Linked DNA regions of Mytilus edulis. The protein of the gene in region 2 interacts with the protein of the main gene of each other region in a pairwise test. Links are inferred from orthologs where the notes say so. Each region holds a gene or a part of one and is shown on either strand. Other genes may lie near its edges.

The links.
Region 1: the proteins of cyclin-D1-binding protein 1 homolog (region 2) and pre-mRNA-splicing factor SYF2-like interact in binary tests that used the Homo sapiens proteins (3 or more experiments, as listed by UniProt). The link is inferred for Mytilus edulis from reciprocal best matches to the Homo sapiens genes CCNDBP1 and SYF2.

Annotation. Positions count from the first base shown.
Region 1 is NC_092353.1:23,096,109-23,105,167, reverse strand, and holds the start of pre-mRNA-splicing factor SYF2-like, read right to left. Parts: upstream 3,637-9,059; 5' UTR 3,606-3,636; coding exon 3,602-3,605; exon of another isoform or gene 3,415-3,601; coding exon of another isoform or gene 3,411-3,414; intron 1-3,410. Other genes in the region: coiled-coil domain-containing protein 81-like, read left to right, coding at 3,963-4,038, 5,215-5,276, 6,589-6,745. UniProt on the Homo sapiens protein: Involved in pre-mRNA splicing as component of the spliceosome.
Region 2 is NC_092348.1:92,450,406-92,458,812, reverse strand, and holds the start of cyclin-D1-binding protein 1 homolog, read right to left. Parts: upstream 3,445-8,407; 5' UTR 3,393-3,444; coding exon 3,317-3,392; intron 827-3,316; coding exon 764-826; intron 1-763. Other genes in the region: programmed cell death protein 5-like, read left to right, coding at 6,750-6,806. UniProt on the Homo sapiens protein: May negatively regulate cell cycle progression. May act at least in part via inhibition of the cyclin-D1/CDK4 complex, thereby preventing phosphorylation of RB1 and blocking E2F-dependent transcription.

The DNA.
Region 1 (9,059 bases), on a different chromosome or scaffold from region 2:
TGTATTACAGTTGATTTACACTTTTTTAACACTCGAATAAATTATTTTTAAAGGTGGTTTTATTTTTCTTCTTCTTCTTCTTCCTTTGTAGTACAGGCCTCCCAGGGGAGTATTATCGTACTGTTTTATGTACATGTTCGATGTGAGAACAACAAATGTGCGGGTAGGTGCGAAATATCTACAGTGAAACGGTGATTCTTTAAAATAAGGTTAAAAACATGGTTGGACATCTATCGAAGCTGGACCACTTGCACGCCCCTTTTGAATGAATCAAGGGTTGTGCAGCTTACTAGTTGTTGTGGCAGTCCATTCCAGATTCTGATGGTGTCTGGGAAAAACGAGTATCGATATACTTGAGTCCTGGCAAAAGGAACAAGGAATCGTTCTTTGTGCCCTCGTACTGTTGTTGTTACTGGCTGTAAGTTTATAGATGGTATAGCAATGAGTTTGTGCACTACCCTATAAAACATGATGGCTTTACATTTAGCTCTTCTTTCCTGTAACGTATCCCAATTTAAAGTTTGTAGCATTGATGTTACACTGCTTGTTCTTCTATAATCATTCAGTACAAATCGTGCGCATCGTCGTTGTATGGCTTCTAATTTGTTTATATTGTCCTTAGTAGCTGGATCCCAGATGGTGCTAGAGTATTCCATGAGTGGTCTTACAAGCGTTTGATAGCATAAGGCTTTTGTTTCACTAGGACAGTTTTTGATGTTTCTTTGAAGAAAAGCTCTGGTCGAGTTAGCTTTCTTTGCGATGTTGTCTATATGTTTGTTCCAACTCAATGTTTTGTGTATAGAGAGGCCAAGATATTTCGCCGAGTCAACCTCTTCTAGGACATGGCCATGTATGGTGTAGTTCGCCTTAATCGTGTTCCGTTTTGTTGTTACTCTTAGGAGTTGGCATTTTTGGGGGTGGAATTCCATCTGCCAGTCTGCCTCCCATTGTTGTAGTCCATTTAGGTCGTTCTGAAGGGTGTTCGCATCTTCTTGGTTTCTTATTTGGCGGTAGAGGACACAGTCGTCTGCGAAAAGTCTAACGCTTGATGCTGACACATACTCTGGAAGGTCATTTATGAAAATGAGAAACATCAGAGGGCCAAGCACACTACCTTGTGGAACTCCAGACTGCACTGGTGAGGTTTCTGAAGATTCTCCTTCCAGGAGTACACATTGCTGTCTGTCGTCCAGAAAATTTCTCAACCAGTCTATTGTTGTCCCTCTTATGCCATAGTGGTCGATCTTGTACAGTAGTCGCTCATGTGGGACTTTGTCAAATGCCTTTGAAAAGTCTAAGAGGATGAGATCTATTTGCTCTTTAATGTCGATGTTCTTTGCTAGGTCTTGAATTGTGAGAATTAGTTGAGATTCACAAGACCGTTCTTTTCTAAAGCCGTGTTGAGCATCGGTCAAGATGGAGTGACATTCAAGGTGTTTTATGATATTGGTACAGATGATATGCTCCAATAATTTGCATAGAATTGCAGTTAATGATACAGGTCGGTAGTTTGATGCCTGGCTACGATCCCCTTTCTTGAATATTGGGACAACGTTTGCATTTTTCCAGTCAGATGGTAATGTGCCTTGATCAACAGAGGCTTGGAAAAAGGTGGTAAGTATTGATGATATATCAGGCGCTATTGATTTCAATAATCTTGTAGAAATTTCATCTGGCCCAGATGCTTTGTGTATGTTGAGGTTTGAAAGTAATTTGTGTATTCCGTTTTCCGAGATAGTGATGTTTTTCATCTCTGGGTACGGCTTTGTTTTCATTTTCTTTATGGTAGATTTGTCTTCATTGCTGTTGAATACTGAGGAAAACTGGTTGTTAAGTATGTTTGCCTTCATCTTGTTGTCTGAGTATGTGAGCCCATCTGTGTTTCTAAGTGGTGCTACTCCTCCATTTTCGCATCTTTTATTCTTTATGAAGCTCCAGAACTTCTTTGGGTTGGATTTCTGCTCTGGGCTTATAATGTCGTGGATATATGTTGAATAGGCTTTCTTACATTCTTTCTGTGAGCTCTTTTTGATAGTTTTGTATCTCTTGATGTCTTTTGTTGTTTTTGTTGTTTGGGCTTTTTTAAAAGCTTTCTTTTTCCGTCGTGTAATACGTTTTATTGTGCCATTTATCCAAGGTTGATGGAATCTTGTTGATGACATTTTTGATGGTACGTTTTTGTCTTGAATGTTCTTGAGTCCTGTTTTTATGAACTCCCACATCTCTGATATTGAGCTCTGAGCGTTATACAAGCCATGAAATTTTTCAGATAGTTCCTGTGCATCTGATTTCATTTTTTCTATGTCTGCTCTCTTCCAGATGTAAATTTTTCTTTGTGTTGGTTTTGGATGCATTGCGATGGCATTACTATCAATGAAGACGATGTCGTGGTCGCCTATTCCAGGAATTGGCTCGCATCTATTTACCAAGGATGGTCTGTTTGTGAGGAAAATATCGAGTGTTGCGGATCCTCTAGTGGGAAATGTTACCACTTGGTCTAGGCAGCAGTTATTAACCATATCTACGAACCTATTATTGAGTTGTGTAGAATATTGGTTGCCGCATACTGAATTGGATTTCCAGTCAATATCAGGAAGGTTTATGTCTCCTCCTAGCCATAATATAGACGATTTATTCTCTTTATATATTTCTTCTGTGGTGTTGCACATTTTTTCCATGTAGGTGATATCGCTACTGGGTGGTCTATAGAGACATCCTACTATGATGGATTTACTGTCAGGTGTTGTTACTCTAATATATAATGATTCTGTGTCACTTTGTACGGGTAGTTCTTCGCTGATGATGATATCTCTTACAGCTATCAATACACCTCCGTATCCATCAGAACGATCTTTTCTATAAACTGAGTATTGTGGTGGAAATATCTCAGAGCTTAATATGTCTGGTCTTAACCATGTTTCAGTCCCTAATATAATTTCGGGATTGGAAGTGTCTATCATGTTCAGTAATTCTTCTTTTTTATTTTTAATACTTTGAAAGTTCACAACTACGATTTTTGTGTTTTTACCTTTCTTGTTTTGTTTCTGCTGGTCTTTTTTGCTTTTCGGCTTAGGTGACGATGAGTATGTGGGTGGTCCTGGGCTTGATATTGATGTTTCACTGGATAAAGATTGGAACGAGTTATAAGTTGAATCGATGATGAAGGACTCAAATAATGATGACGAAAAATTCGGCATTCCACAATTTACACAGTGCCATGAAATGTTGGAATTGGCCAGTGCGTTATATACAGGTGTAGATATTAACATGCAGTCTGCGTGGTACCATTTACTGCAATCATCACATGCCACCCCTCTCTGTTTCCATGTTACCGCTTTGGAGCATATTTGACAAGGATATTTAGGAGTACGTGGACCAGTCAAATAACATGTAACTGTCATTTATCATACCCATCCGGTCAGATTAAATAATCTTTATGGCACCCCAAGAGAATAGAAGGGTAGTTTTTAGGTGATTAAAGCTTTCAATGACACTATCTTAACCCTAGTCTATCCATTTACCTTCGACAAATAAAAACAAAGTTGTTTACGAAAATGACGTATTGCGAGTCTTCAGGGTATTTATTCATTACATAACTTACTCATGAATTCACCTTGTCTTAAACGTTTTAATGACTATGGTGAAGCAATATTTTCGCATTACATAAAATATTTGTTTTTCATTTTATTTAAAGTTTTCAATTTCTCTTACTAATTTTAAGATAAATTATTGGTAATAATACATATTTATGATCTATTTCTAAATTTCTTCGAAACAAATTTATCCGGATTTTTTAGTAGCTCTGCCTGTGATGTTTGGTGATAGCCAATCAAAATATCTTTTCCTTGGCAACGTTTATACTATGGACACTAATGTACACTGTAGAATGTGAACTCAATATGCATTTAAACAGATAAAATAATGAAAGCCTGATATCGCTTGAAAACAAAATTATTGCAGTAATGGCAGAAATGCAAGGAATCTTTGCTGATGCAAAGAAAAATCGCTTTTCAAGCATAAACGCTCTATCAGATGACGGTAAGTTGAATGATATTGATAAAACCCAAACTATACAAACAACAATACCAGTCTCGAACTTTAGTTGAACACCAAGGATTGTCATTTACTTACATAGGCAAACATAACAGAATAAGTCACACAAAAGTAAAGGGGCAAACACAAAACATAATCATGAAAGTGGATAGAGACAAACTCTGAACAGCTCATTTTATCCATTGGGACATAAAGAAAGTTCTATGTGTACTTCTGCTTGATCAAATTGTTCCCCTACATATTTTTTATGTGTGTAAAAATACCCAGGGTAGCTAACTAGCAAGGAAGAAAAGTATTCAGAATTTGATATCTAGTTTGAGTACCCGTTTAGTTTTTGAGAGTTAACCTGATAAACAGAACTTTTATTTCAACTTGTATGTGTACTTTCTTAGAGTATAATATACATGTAGTACCCAGGATGACAGTGTCGGTGACTCATTCAGCGCTATTTGTTGCTTTTCATCATATTTCATTTATTTGTTTATTATTTTGTTTTTTATGTAAATTGAAATATAACTATAATTATACATGAGGGCCCTCATGGGGTTTTTGATTATGTGATTACTTGGCCGTTTTTTTAATGATTATTTGATTATTAAGCCAAATATTTCATGATTATTTGATTACCTAGGACTGTATTTTTAGTTTATGATTATTTGATTACTAAAGATAAGCAAATATTTAATGATTATGTGATTATATTGGCAAAAAAATGGTGATTATGTGATTACTAGGACCCCCCCATGAGGGGCCTCATACATGTACCATGTACATGTATGTATTCATAGTTATATACATGCAGGTCCTGTCCTACATCCTATTGTTATTGTTATTATATTTATGTAAATAAGAAGATGTAGTATGAGTGCCAATGGACAATCTCTCCTTCCAAGTGACAATTTATCATTGTTATTAAGAATAAACAATTATAGGTCAGAGTACAGCTTTGGCTCACACCGAACAGTGATAAAAATAAAACTCTAACCTGGGACAAAATGGTTTTAAAATTAATAAATTTGTTGTTCAATGTACATGTATTATGTACTAACAGAGCATTTTGGCAACTTTAAAACATGGAACACAATTTATCATGTTTATGCACTCTTAAATTGGATGAATATGGGGATTTCTCTATTAATATTTACTTTTTCTGTATTTCAGATTTAACAAATGTGTGGGAAAATGTATCTAGATTCATTGAAAGTCAGATGAACCAACAAAAGGTTTGTATTACAAGTAGATTTTCACTGAATTTTTAGTTTCTGTTTGGACAACCCATTAATAGCAGGGATAAGGTGTTGGATTATTAGGGTTGTAATGAACATAATTTCGTTTGCAAACACACAAACATGATTCTTCAAAAGTTGCAACTTTTGTTTAATTTAAAGAGTGTTCCCCATGAACATTGACCATTAGAAGTATTTATTTGGAGGCAATTGACTTCTTCATGCAATTTTGATCTCTCATGATGGTTGCTCTCCTAACTACATTGTACCTACTTTTACATGTAGTTCCTACCAAATTCTTCCTATTACAAATTAAGTTACAATTGCAATAATGGTTTTTATAAGCATGATAAGTAATGAAAATAATCCAGATTTTAACAGCTTTTATTATATTGTGTTTTACTCCCAAGTAATGGCATAAAAAACGAAAACTTTGTTAAATTGTAAAGTAATAGGCTTTTCAGGCTCCAAAAAAGTTGAAGCCAGAAAAATCGCCTCTTGCCACTTGTGACATTGCTTTTGGCTGAAGTTGTACCTCTTCAGAAATTGAAGCTGAGATTTTCTCTTTTATTTCTTATGACTGTAGTTACTGTACATCAATTCATTTAACTTAGTGATGGTAATGTATTGTCTGTTGTCTCATGCTCACTGAACTTACATCTCATTTATTTATTTTTATCTACATTACATATATATATGTTACTATATGTAATGTAGATACATATATATAATGTCTAAAAATAGCAACAATCAACATTCAATCTATTTATGTTACATATATATATATATATATATATGTTACATGTATATAACCTGTTTGTGATTGTAACAAAATTTTAATTAAAATATGATTTATGTAAATTACTTTTTTATAGAATACAAATCTTGTTTGCCATAATTAAATAAAACCCAACATCCTAAAATTTGTTTATTCTGAGTATCTTTAACACTTACAATGTACAGTATTGATGTATTTATGACATGTAGTGAGTGTAAATGATACAAATTATAAAGTCTATCTTTACCCGTCTTTTAGTCCTTCCATCTGTTTTTAATTTTTCCCATTGAATTTTCTTAGCATTTTTGTCGGAATTGCAGATCTTCCTGAAATTTAGTATCAGGTTTCAAGTGTTGGATGTGTTTTAATTTCATCACCAATGACACCATGATCAATTATACAATTTTTGATTATTTTTCAACATGGATCTTTCATTCAATATTTGTAGATTAGATTATTATTATTTTTATACAAAGTGTTCTGTTGTTGGAATATAAATTGTTTTAAATTTATATTTTATCTGCTTTTCAGGGTGTGAATATAGCAGCCCTTGGAACTTTTACATTTTCCCAAAAAAAACTGGATATAGGCAATAACAAGTTTATAATGATGCAGCGACCTATTTTCATGCTATCAGAAAGATTTGCTCAAACTCACAATCTACAGAGTACAAAATATCATGTCCCAGGTAAGAAAGGCTTTTATAAATTAATTTGTAAAATATTATACAATTCTTTAGTTAGTTTAGATAAATACAAACCTGCCCATCAACAACACTTCAAATAAAGATAACTTTTGAACACGAAGAGAAAATGTAAACATTTTGTTTGCAATTTGTATATCAAGTGTTTTAAATACAACTGTTAATATACTTTGAAGTACTTCCCATTCAAAACAAAAGGACTTTATTAGACCAGACCCTTCTTTTCAAGAGTACCCTCTAATGATCTCTGCTTGTAAAGAGGTTGAGATATTAATTTATTGTACATGTATACCTTGTCAACATACATATATTTTGTAAGTGTGCCACTCTTTTATTTACTGAAATCAACCAAACAGCAGTAAACCTTTCATACCAAGACATTTATAATGATATGTGGGTGTATGACATTTTAACTGATTGGGGAAAATTTTAGACAGTATACATTTAGGATTAAACACATTTTTTTTAGAGGTTATTGATGTGTAAACAGGGGCGATTAACTCACAAACTGAATAGAAAATAAAGTCGGAAGGACTTTTATGTAAAGTTTGTGAGTGAGAGACCCTGTTTACTACATTGTATGAAATGATTTTTCTAAAGCCAGTAAAGGGGAATTTCACTCCAACTGCCTAGGAAACAATAATCAATGCATAGAAACAATTTTTTTGTTACAAATATTAATCTAGAAATACAATATATAATGAAAATAGAATGTAAACATTAAATGTGTTAAAGATACAATAGCCTGACGAAACAGCAGAAAATAGGACAAGACAAGCTGTGGGAGACAAATGAAAATTGATAGTAAAGGACACAAACTGAAAAACGTTAGAATAGATTATGTGTCAGATTTTAAATATTATGTTGAGCTGGTTCATATTTTGCTCTCAATGTCAATATCATTGTCAGTAATTTGGAGATGTTTTTGTAAAAATCTATTAATGTACTTTTGATGAAGCAATCACTTACTATTGTTGTTGATGCCTGGTAAATTGTACCTTATATCATGTAATACTATATGTATGCATGTATCAACAGTAAGAAGACATGAAAATAGTTCAGACAAGCCAGTCATAAAAAAAAATGCTTATCTGATATTCAAACTCAAAATTCAACCAATAAAAATTCTGGTCCTTGTGTTTCGAGCAAAATTTTGTACTTTGAGTACCAAGTTAAATTTTATGACCAAGAGCCCTAGGATAAAATGTAAGTTAGTTTAACAATCTGTACATTATTATTTAGAGAAGGTCAACAGTTGATGATTAGAAACAATTCTTTCATATAGCATGTTCTTTGCTAACCTAACATTGGTAGACATTATATTTATCAATATTCAAATCAAGCATTTACAAATTTATACCAATTCTTAACTTTTTAATCTGAAGCTTAGTAAGAATACCACGGATGTTTTAAATTCAGTTATTATTTCACATTTGTGTACCATCACTAGGATGTTGTAGATTCTTAACAGTGATAAGGGGTGTGCTTGTAGCTGTTATTAGATTAAATGTCCTTTACCGTCAGGCATTAAACTGTCATTTAAGGCTACCGTTAGCGTCAAATTTGTTAAAATTTTATTTTTGAGTTGTCAAAATATCCTTATTGTGATTTCTCAGAGGTTTTATTAATGTTACTGTCGAAAAGAAAATGTACATTATATCGTCCCATATCAAAAACTTCCCTTAATGTCATTTGGCAAGAACTTTTACCTGTTCATAATAAGGTACTCCCATTACTACCTTCTTATTAGTCTGTTTATTTATCTGGGGGAAAAGTAATAACTAACTTTAACTAAAAGATTTGATTTAGTTTGAATTAAATTTCATGTGTTAGCTTGATTCGAAAATTCACCTTATACAGTTTATTTGGAAAAAGTAAATGGTTAATCTTCTGATTTAATTTTTACTGATAACAATGTAAATATTTCTAGAACAGTTTTATTTACATAAAGTAATTATACATTGTGCCTTTTTAGCAATAAATGTGATTATGAAATTCGTTTTACCATTTATTTTGGTTTAAGGTAATTAATTTTGATTTAGGTTTATGAAGTTTCAGGACACTATAAGTAGTTAAAGTACCCTTATCATGCACATAAATATCTGTGTTTCTTTAATATATTTCAAACAGCTAGTTCTGATCAGAAATGAAACTTTCACCTACAGTTTATCTATAAAATAATAATTTTGATATAAATAAGATTCAAATAGAATGATGCCAATGATTTAGACAATATATATAACCGTTTCATTCACTATATAATTAAGTAATGATAATTATTAAATGATGGAGTGATTTT
Region 2 (8,407 bases):
ATTTGGCTACTTTTTGTTGGTCTCTTTTAGTGACCACTCCACAAGTGTTTACACCTTCTTTGTATTCAAATTTTTTGGTTTGAAAATTTATCGAAAATGGCCTTGTTAGCGCTACACAAAAAAGATGTTTTATTTAGTTATTGCCTTTGTACCTTGGGTAGATAAAATATACATGTGCAAAGTGAGGAACATTGGAACTCTGTTCTTTTATTGAATAGAACTCGTGGTATTTAAGCATGAGACTAGTGTATTATGGACTCAAGACAGACAAAAGAGAAACAGCAAAGAGGCGTAAATTTGGCCACAAAAAATTAACTCACAACTAATATTTTCCATCAAAACTGTACAGATTTATATAGACAAAAAAAAAATTCTGAATGTTATTGTTCTTGTCTTGACTCCACAATGAGTTTATAATTTAAGCCATACCTTCTCAAAGTGAGGTGATTTTATAACCTTCATCTTATTAAATGTATTACATAAAATAAGACATGGTATGATTGCCAATCAGACATCTATTAAACAAAGTCAAAATGACATGAATAAAAGCAACTAAAGGTATCTGTACTATAAATATGGCCATCAACAATTACTTCAATAGAACTTGCTTTAAGTATTTGATTTTTCTTCGAGTTTAAACTAGTCATTTTCATAAAATTAAGTAGCAATTTTTTGATTTCTCTGTTTAATATATCAAGATTTTAAATATGTCCTGTATACCAGACCTCTCCCAGGACATGTTCTCAACTGTGCAATAACTCACCTAATCTGTTCCAGAAATCTTCTGCATTAAACTCAATACCATCAGTTTCTTTAGTTTCTCCTCCTGTAAAATATAAATGACATGTACAGTAAGTTTTGGTTCACGATGATAATATGTACTCTTTTTTTATGATGATTAAAAGTCTTTTAAGATTTAATGATTTGGCGAATCACGTTAAATTTTGTCCAAAAATAATGATAATGACAATTATTTGAGACCTCTGACTAATCATGATAAGGATATTTAGACAAATCACATTTAAATTTTAAAGGGGCACTAGCTGTCAAATTCATGTTAACTGTTTTGACACAAATTCTCATATTTTATTCATAACAATGTAAAACATTTATTCCAAACTATCAAAAGTCTAAAATAAACAATTTACAGGGCACAGGCTAAATGATATGTAGCTTCATTTCATGTGTATTTTAATCTAGAGGCCATCTAATTAACTATTGAGTTGACCTCCGATGACCATAAAAGCAATATAAATGTTCCAGACCATGTGAGTATTTGTACTCTACGCATACAGTCCGGACCATATGGGTATACTCGTACTGTCAGACCATACGTGTACAGTCGAACCATATGGGTATACTTATACGGTATATATAGGATGAACTAGACAATATATGTATTTGAACAATATGGGTTAATTTAAGATAAACATTTATCAAAATCTTTTATCGAAATTACAAATTTGTTTTCTTGCAATTAGATGAATAACATGAAATATGTCATCAACCCTACACACTAATCTGGAAAAATACTATTAACAACTGGTATTATTAGAGTAACAAAGCTACTGTATTCATTCTTTGCATTAATTTTCGACAGGTTTTAATTATATTTTCAAACAGATTTTTTTTTATAGATTTTGTCTAGTATCTTTGACAGTTTTTTGAAGTAAAGTTCCTAAATATTGTTAAATCTTTTCTTTCAACACTCATATATATATATAACTTCAATTTCAGTGAGCAAAATTAAATATCATGTGTTACTGACATGATAAATACAAGAGCTAAACAGATGAACAGATTGAATTAACGTGACCTTTTTAAATAGTTAAATTATTAAGTTTTGAATTCATTAACATTTAAACTTTTAAGATTAATTACAGATTTCTTTTTGTTGATTAGTAATATACAATTCTATCTAATAAACATGACATCTTAAATAAATACACGTACGGTCCGACTGTATGAGTATTTTGAAAAAGTATGTGTACGGTCCAAATACTCATATGGTCTGGAACATAAACATAATTATAGATATAAATAGAAAAGGGAACTTGTGCAATTGAATATTTATAGGTCTGTTTGATTTTATATTTTAGGTTAAAATTATATACTTGCAAGTGAATGATTCATTATCAATGTTTCTTTAATAGCTTAATTTGATAAAATTGAACCATTTTGGCTGCTAAAAGTGAAATTATTATTTCACAATTTCACTTTCATTAATGATTGAACAAATAAAATTAAATTTTAGATCTTTTTATATCTCTTAGCTAGTGCCTAACCAATTTGATGCTGACCATTTGACGCCTGACGGTAAACATGGTAAAGGGCATTTCTACCCTAATTGAAGAGTTGTATACAGTGACAGTGTAGTCTTCATACAAAGTTAAAAAAAATTGTCTTCTTTACAGATTAAAGCCTTTAAGATGATGAGATTTCATTATGGCAGAGGGTGGAGAATTCATCTTCGCTAGCCAAGGGTTACGATCCACTTCCCTCCTCTCTGATAAGTGGATCTTAACCCTTGGCCCGGGAAGATGGGAGAGATAGACTAAGCATTAAATTATTGAATGTTAATGCATCATAATCATATTTAAACGGTGCCTTTTTTAAACAAGTCTATGTTTGTGTGTGCTTTCTTGTTGTGCATTTTCCCAGTCATAAATATACATATATCACAATATACAGAGCTACATATAAAATTTTCACAACAGACACCAGCATGTATGTTAGTCCGAGATTACTCTGACGTCCAACGGCTGTTTTGCCAGACAAGCTGGGGCCGTGGGACCCCGGCCCCAGCTTGTCTGGCAGTTGGAGTTATCTCGGACTACATGTATGTATGTATGTACTTCAAGATTCCGCCTGTTTAGACACACCCCTTGATTGACTGCAAGGGTACAGGGGATATATGTACACTCCCTAAAGATTAATGGAAATGTGTCCTTTTCCAATATTATCCCACCACCAGAACAATCCCCAACCAACACCGCCCAAGGGAGCGAGTAGGACACCGGGAAGTCTGTTATTATGATGGAGGAAGCCGAAGTACTCGGAGAGAACCACCGGGCTTCTTGTCGTGAACAGACAACCCAAAGAGATTTCAGAAGATTGATCTACGAGATAAGCTCTACTGTGATAGTCGACTTTGGTATATTTTTACCCCCTTATTGATAGGATTTCAAACTCCTGTGAACACACATGGTCATCATAAAAATTAAAAACTGAAAAAGTGTCAAGTGTGCTTGACAATTGTCCTTATTTTGTTTTTCCTTTTATCTGGTATCTATCTACTGGTGAGTGGTCATGTTACCTTTCACTTGATCTATTGCTATTGCTAAATTTGCTGTTAAATTGTGGAGTAGTTCAACATAAAAATTTTCTGCCATTTCCGTGTTTGGTTTAGAAATTATTTACACAATATTTTCGGATTTTCGGGGTGAATCTGTGTTCTTCACGAACAATCTAGGGGTTACACTAATGACTGGACCGAATGACAGGACCGAATGACAGGACCAAATGAAAAATGCTAATAACTTTTTCATTTCTCAAAGGATTGATCTCAAATTTGAAATATAATAAGATTTCATCATTTGATAAATAGATTTAAGAAAAAAATTAAAAAGTTTTGTAAGAAACTTTAGAAAATGTGACATGACCAACTTTGATAATGACAGGACCAACATCGAGAATGACAGGACCAAATAAAAATGCTAATAACTTTTTTGTTTTTCAAAGGAATTATTTCAGATTTGAAATATAAAATGGTATGTCATATTTTGAAACCAAAATGTTGTAAAAAATATAGATTTATTTTCAAAAACTTTCGAAAACGTGACATGACCATCGCTGATTGACAGGACCAACATCGACAATGACCGGACCAGATGAAATTGCTAATTTCTCTTTTATTTCTCAAAATATTTTTCTAAAATTTTAAATATAATAAGATTTCATCATTTATCAAATAAATTTAAAAAAAAATACACAAAAAATATATAAGAAACTTTAGAAAACGTGACATGACCAACTCTGATAATGACAGGACCAACTTCGACAATAACAGGACCAAATAAAAATGCTAATAACTTTTTTATTTTTCAAAGGAATTATCTCAGATTTGAAACATAAAATGATATGTCACATTTTGAAACATTTATGTTATAAAAAATAATAATTTATTTTCAAAAACTTTCAAAATCGTGACATGATCCCATCGCTGACTGACATGACCAACCTCGACAAAGACCTGAACAAATGAAATTGCTAATTATTCTTTTATTTCGCAGAGTATTTCTCTGAAAATTAAAATATGTGAAGATTATACCATTTTATACATAAATATAAGAAAAAGTATAAAAAGCTTGCTGAAATGTGACCTGGTTAACGTTGTCAATAACAGGACAATCCTCGACAATTAATGACAGGACCAAATAAAAATGCTAATTATGCATAACATTTGTCAGAATATTCCTCTCAAATTTGAAATAATGACAATTAAGACCATTTTGCACATCATATAAGAAAAATATAGAAAAAAAAAACGTATTGAAAGCTTGCGGTTGTGTGACCTGACCAACATCGGCTATGATCTGGCCAATGATTTTACTGAAATTGTTCAATTCTGATCCATAATTAGTATGATATATCTTATAAATTCAGGAAAATATATTCTATGGTGGTTAAAATTCTTGACCTAGCTACTAAACATGCTAAACGTATGTTGGCAGAGAGTCACAGGACATGCAGAGTCACAGGACAAAAAGACACGAATGATCACTATATTTAAGAAAGAGATCTTGAAATATTTATATATAATTACATATAATCATTTTATAGTTTAAGAGATTGTTCATTAGATAAATTCAGATTTATTGAATTGTCATCATAATATTTCTTGACATCATGAAGCCCAATTTAAGCCACTTTGAAAAGGTATCAAACCTTTTAAAGTAGTCCGTGAAAATGTTTGATTCAGTATATTTTATGAAAATATTTGAAACTACCAAGAAATCATGCATGCAAGGGTCGGGCATACTTCAAGAAATGTTTATTTGTTTATTTATTATGAGGGGGAAACTATCAAGATATACCCTGCATATACTCAAGCATACATGGAAATAATTATTTAATGTTCTGAAAATATTGATTAAAACAACGACTTGAACTATTATGTGATTTTAATTACTGTCATCACAATCTTTATTGGATTTATCAACTTATTTATGGCTTATGTCACACCTTTTGTTTGTTACCTTATAATTGTTTTCAGACGTGTCAGATTATGTCCGGTAATTAATATACAAAATAATCTGAATGAATGAATGAATGAATGATCTTTATTCTCAACCCAAATACATAGTTAAAGAGTTAAGATATAGCATGTGTGAAATATCAATTAATATGATAAATATTTACACCAAAGATAAATAAAGTTAGCCTTTTCCCTTATTTTCTAAAAGCTTATAAATCATTCAATCTTAATGTGTGTGTTTTAATTATTATTATTAATTTCAACCAGGATTTCTATAGTAGGGACTATGGTCATTTCACGTTTTCGCAATAAAATAAAAAAAAATCTAGATTTTTTTTTCTTTAATTGATATTTTAAAAGATGAGATCACATTTTATTTTAAATCTGACATAATTCCTTTTCAAAATTAAAAAGTGAATAGCATTTTTATTTGGTCCTGTCCTTGTCAAGGTTTGTCCTGTCATTGTTAGTGTTGGTCAGGTCACATTACAGCAAGCTTTTAGTATTTTTTTTTCCTATATCATTCCTATTTTTATGTCTAAAATGGTTAAATCTGACTATATCTCAAATTTCAGAAAAATATTTTTTAGAAATAAAAAGTAATTAGCAATTTCATCTGGTCCTGTCATTGTCGAGGTTGGTCCTGTCAGTCAGCGATGGTTATGTCACGTTTAAACTTTCTATATTTTTTATAACATTTATTTTTCAAAATATGACATATTATTTTATATTTCAAATCTGTGAGAATTCCTTTGAAAAATAAAAAAAGTTATTAGCATTTTACTTTGGTCCTGTCATTGTCGATGTTGGTCATGTCATTATCAGAGTTGGTCATGTCACGTTTTCTAAAGTTTCTTACAATTTTTTTAATTTTTTTTTTCTTAAATCTATTTATCAAATGATGAAATCTTATTATATATCAAATTTCAGAAAAATATTTTGAGAAATAAAAGAGAAATTAGCAATTTTATCTGGTCCAGTCATTGCCGAGGTTGGTCCTGTCAATCAGCGATGGTCATGTCACGTTTTCGAAAGTTTTTGAAAATAAATCTATATTTTTTACAACATTTTGGTTTCAAAATATGACATACCATTTTATATTTCAAATCTGAAATAATTCCTTTGAAAAACAAAAAAGTTATTAGCATTTTTATTTGGTCCTGTCATTCTCGATGTTGGTCCTGTCATTATCAAAGTTGGTCATGTCACATTTTCTAAAGTTTCTTACAAAACTTTTTAATTTTTTTCTTAAATCTATTTATCAAATGATGAAATCTTATTATATTTCAAATTTGAGATCAATCCTTTGAGAAATGAAAAAGTTATTAGCATTTTTCATTTGGTCCTGTCATTCGGTCCTGTCATTCGGTCCAGTCATTAGTGTAACCCACAATCTAGAGAATAAAAATTCCGTTGTCATCTCAGATTCTGAATCAAACACATTTTTCTCACCTTATAAGATCTTATAAATTAGTTTAAAGAACATTACGAAATGGCTGATGATGAATTGGATGCCATAAGGGCCAGAAGAATGGCAGAACTTCAAGGGGTAATTGAAGGCACAATGAATGAACTATGAATTTATGATTCTGACAAACATGTGTTATGGCTTATGTCGTATGATATGTAATTTAATTTTTCTAGTCACTTCGGCACCTGGTTAAATCGGACTCTGATCAAATCGTACCCGGTATAGTCGATTCGGCTGCTTGTCAAATCGGACATAGTTAATTCAGCACCCTAGACACAGGCACTTGTTTCTATCCATTGGAAGACCCACTATCAACGTATATTTAAATATACGTTGATAGTGGGTCTTCCAATGGATAGAAACAAGTGCCTGTGACCCTAGACAGTTATTTCTCTACACTACTTCACGAGCAAGTTAAAAATTTCTGCACCCTTCATTATGTAGATAGTTATTTCGGTACACTACTTCACTAGCTGCAGGACCGTAGCTCTTACATGTAGGTCCTTTTATTATTGTTTGCAAATAGTAAAAAAAAAAGCACAAGATATACAACTTATCGCTATTTGTCCGTTATTACTGGACATTACACAGGTTTCCGTAAGCTTTTGATGTCATGGTAATACAAGATGTCTGACGCCACAATGAAAAAGTGATTGTTGTATGACGCCAATTGTTCAAGCAGGACAGCTTCTCATTAAATTTTACCTTTGTATTGGCCATTTGTTTGTCTTTCAGCAGTGATTTTGCTAGCGCTCGTCACTTTCGTATTTTACGAAAGGGTTTTCTCATTGACGAAAGTATTTCAAATCAATTTCGTCACTTTAATTTTGAAAGTGTAAAATAAAATTCGCAATAAAAACTATAAATCTACCTGTCTTCATGTTTTTGACAAGTTTATGACCTCCAGGTAATTAACATTTTTAACAGGTGTTACAAGTTGTGATTACAACTAATCCGCTTATCGCCATCGGATGGGTCACTAATCCGTTAATTATTATTAAACCCCATAATTGAATGACCATCATAATTATTTCCCCAGGAAAATCAGCCAGTCGGCAAGTCATTTCAACAATCAGGAGTTTAGTTTCGTCAATTAATCAAAAATGTAACAACCCGGTCAGTTCGCATTTGAATTTTAATATTTTTCCAACGATCTGAAGTTCATTTGTCGTAGATTCGTCATTCGAAGGCATTTTCGTCATAATGGATTTAAATTTTCATCAAAAAACTTTCGACAATTTCCATTTAAAATAAAGAACTTTAATGTGTTTATTCAAAACTTTCACGAGTTAAACAGGTGCTTCCTGTATTGTATTCTTACGCATGCGTGAAAGTATTCCTTTGACTATTTATAGACTTTAAAAAAACGTAAAATACGAAATCATTTAATTTAGAATCAATTAAACGAGAGAGACAAATATCTCTTACTAAAGGAATTTAAATAAAAAAATGATAATTTCCTGATGAATCCGGACTCGTTTTGAATTTATTATCCACGTGTCACTTCCCGTTTTTGTTTCATTTTAAAACCGAAAGTAGTAAACGTGATCTATTGTTGATTTGTTTACAACCTACTTTCAGTCATTATTATAGTTCCAAAAAGGATTTTACACATTTCCAACTTGAAAGAAATGATTCCAAATATCGATTTAGACCTTTTATATGGATAATGATTATGC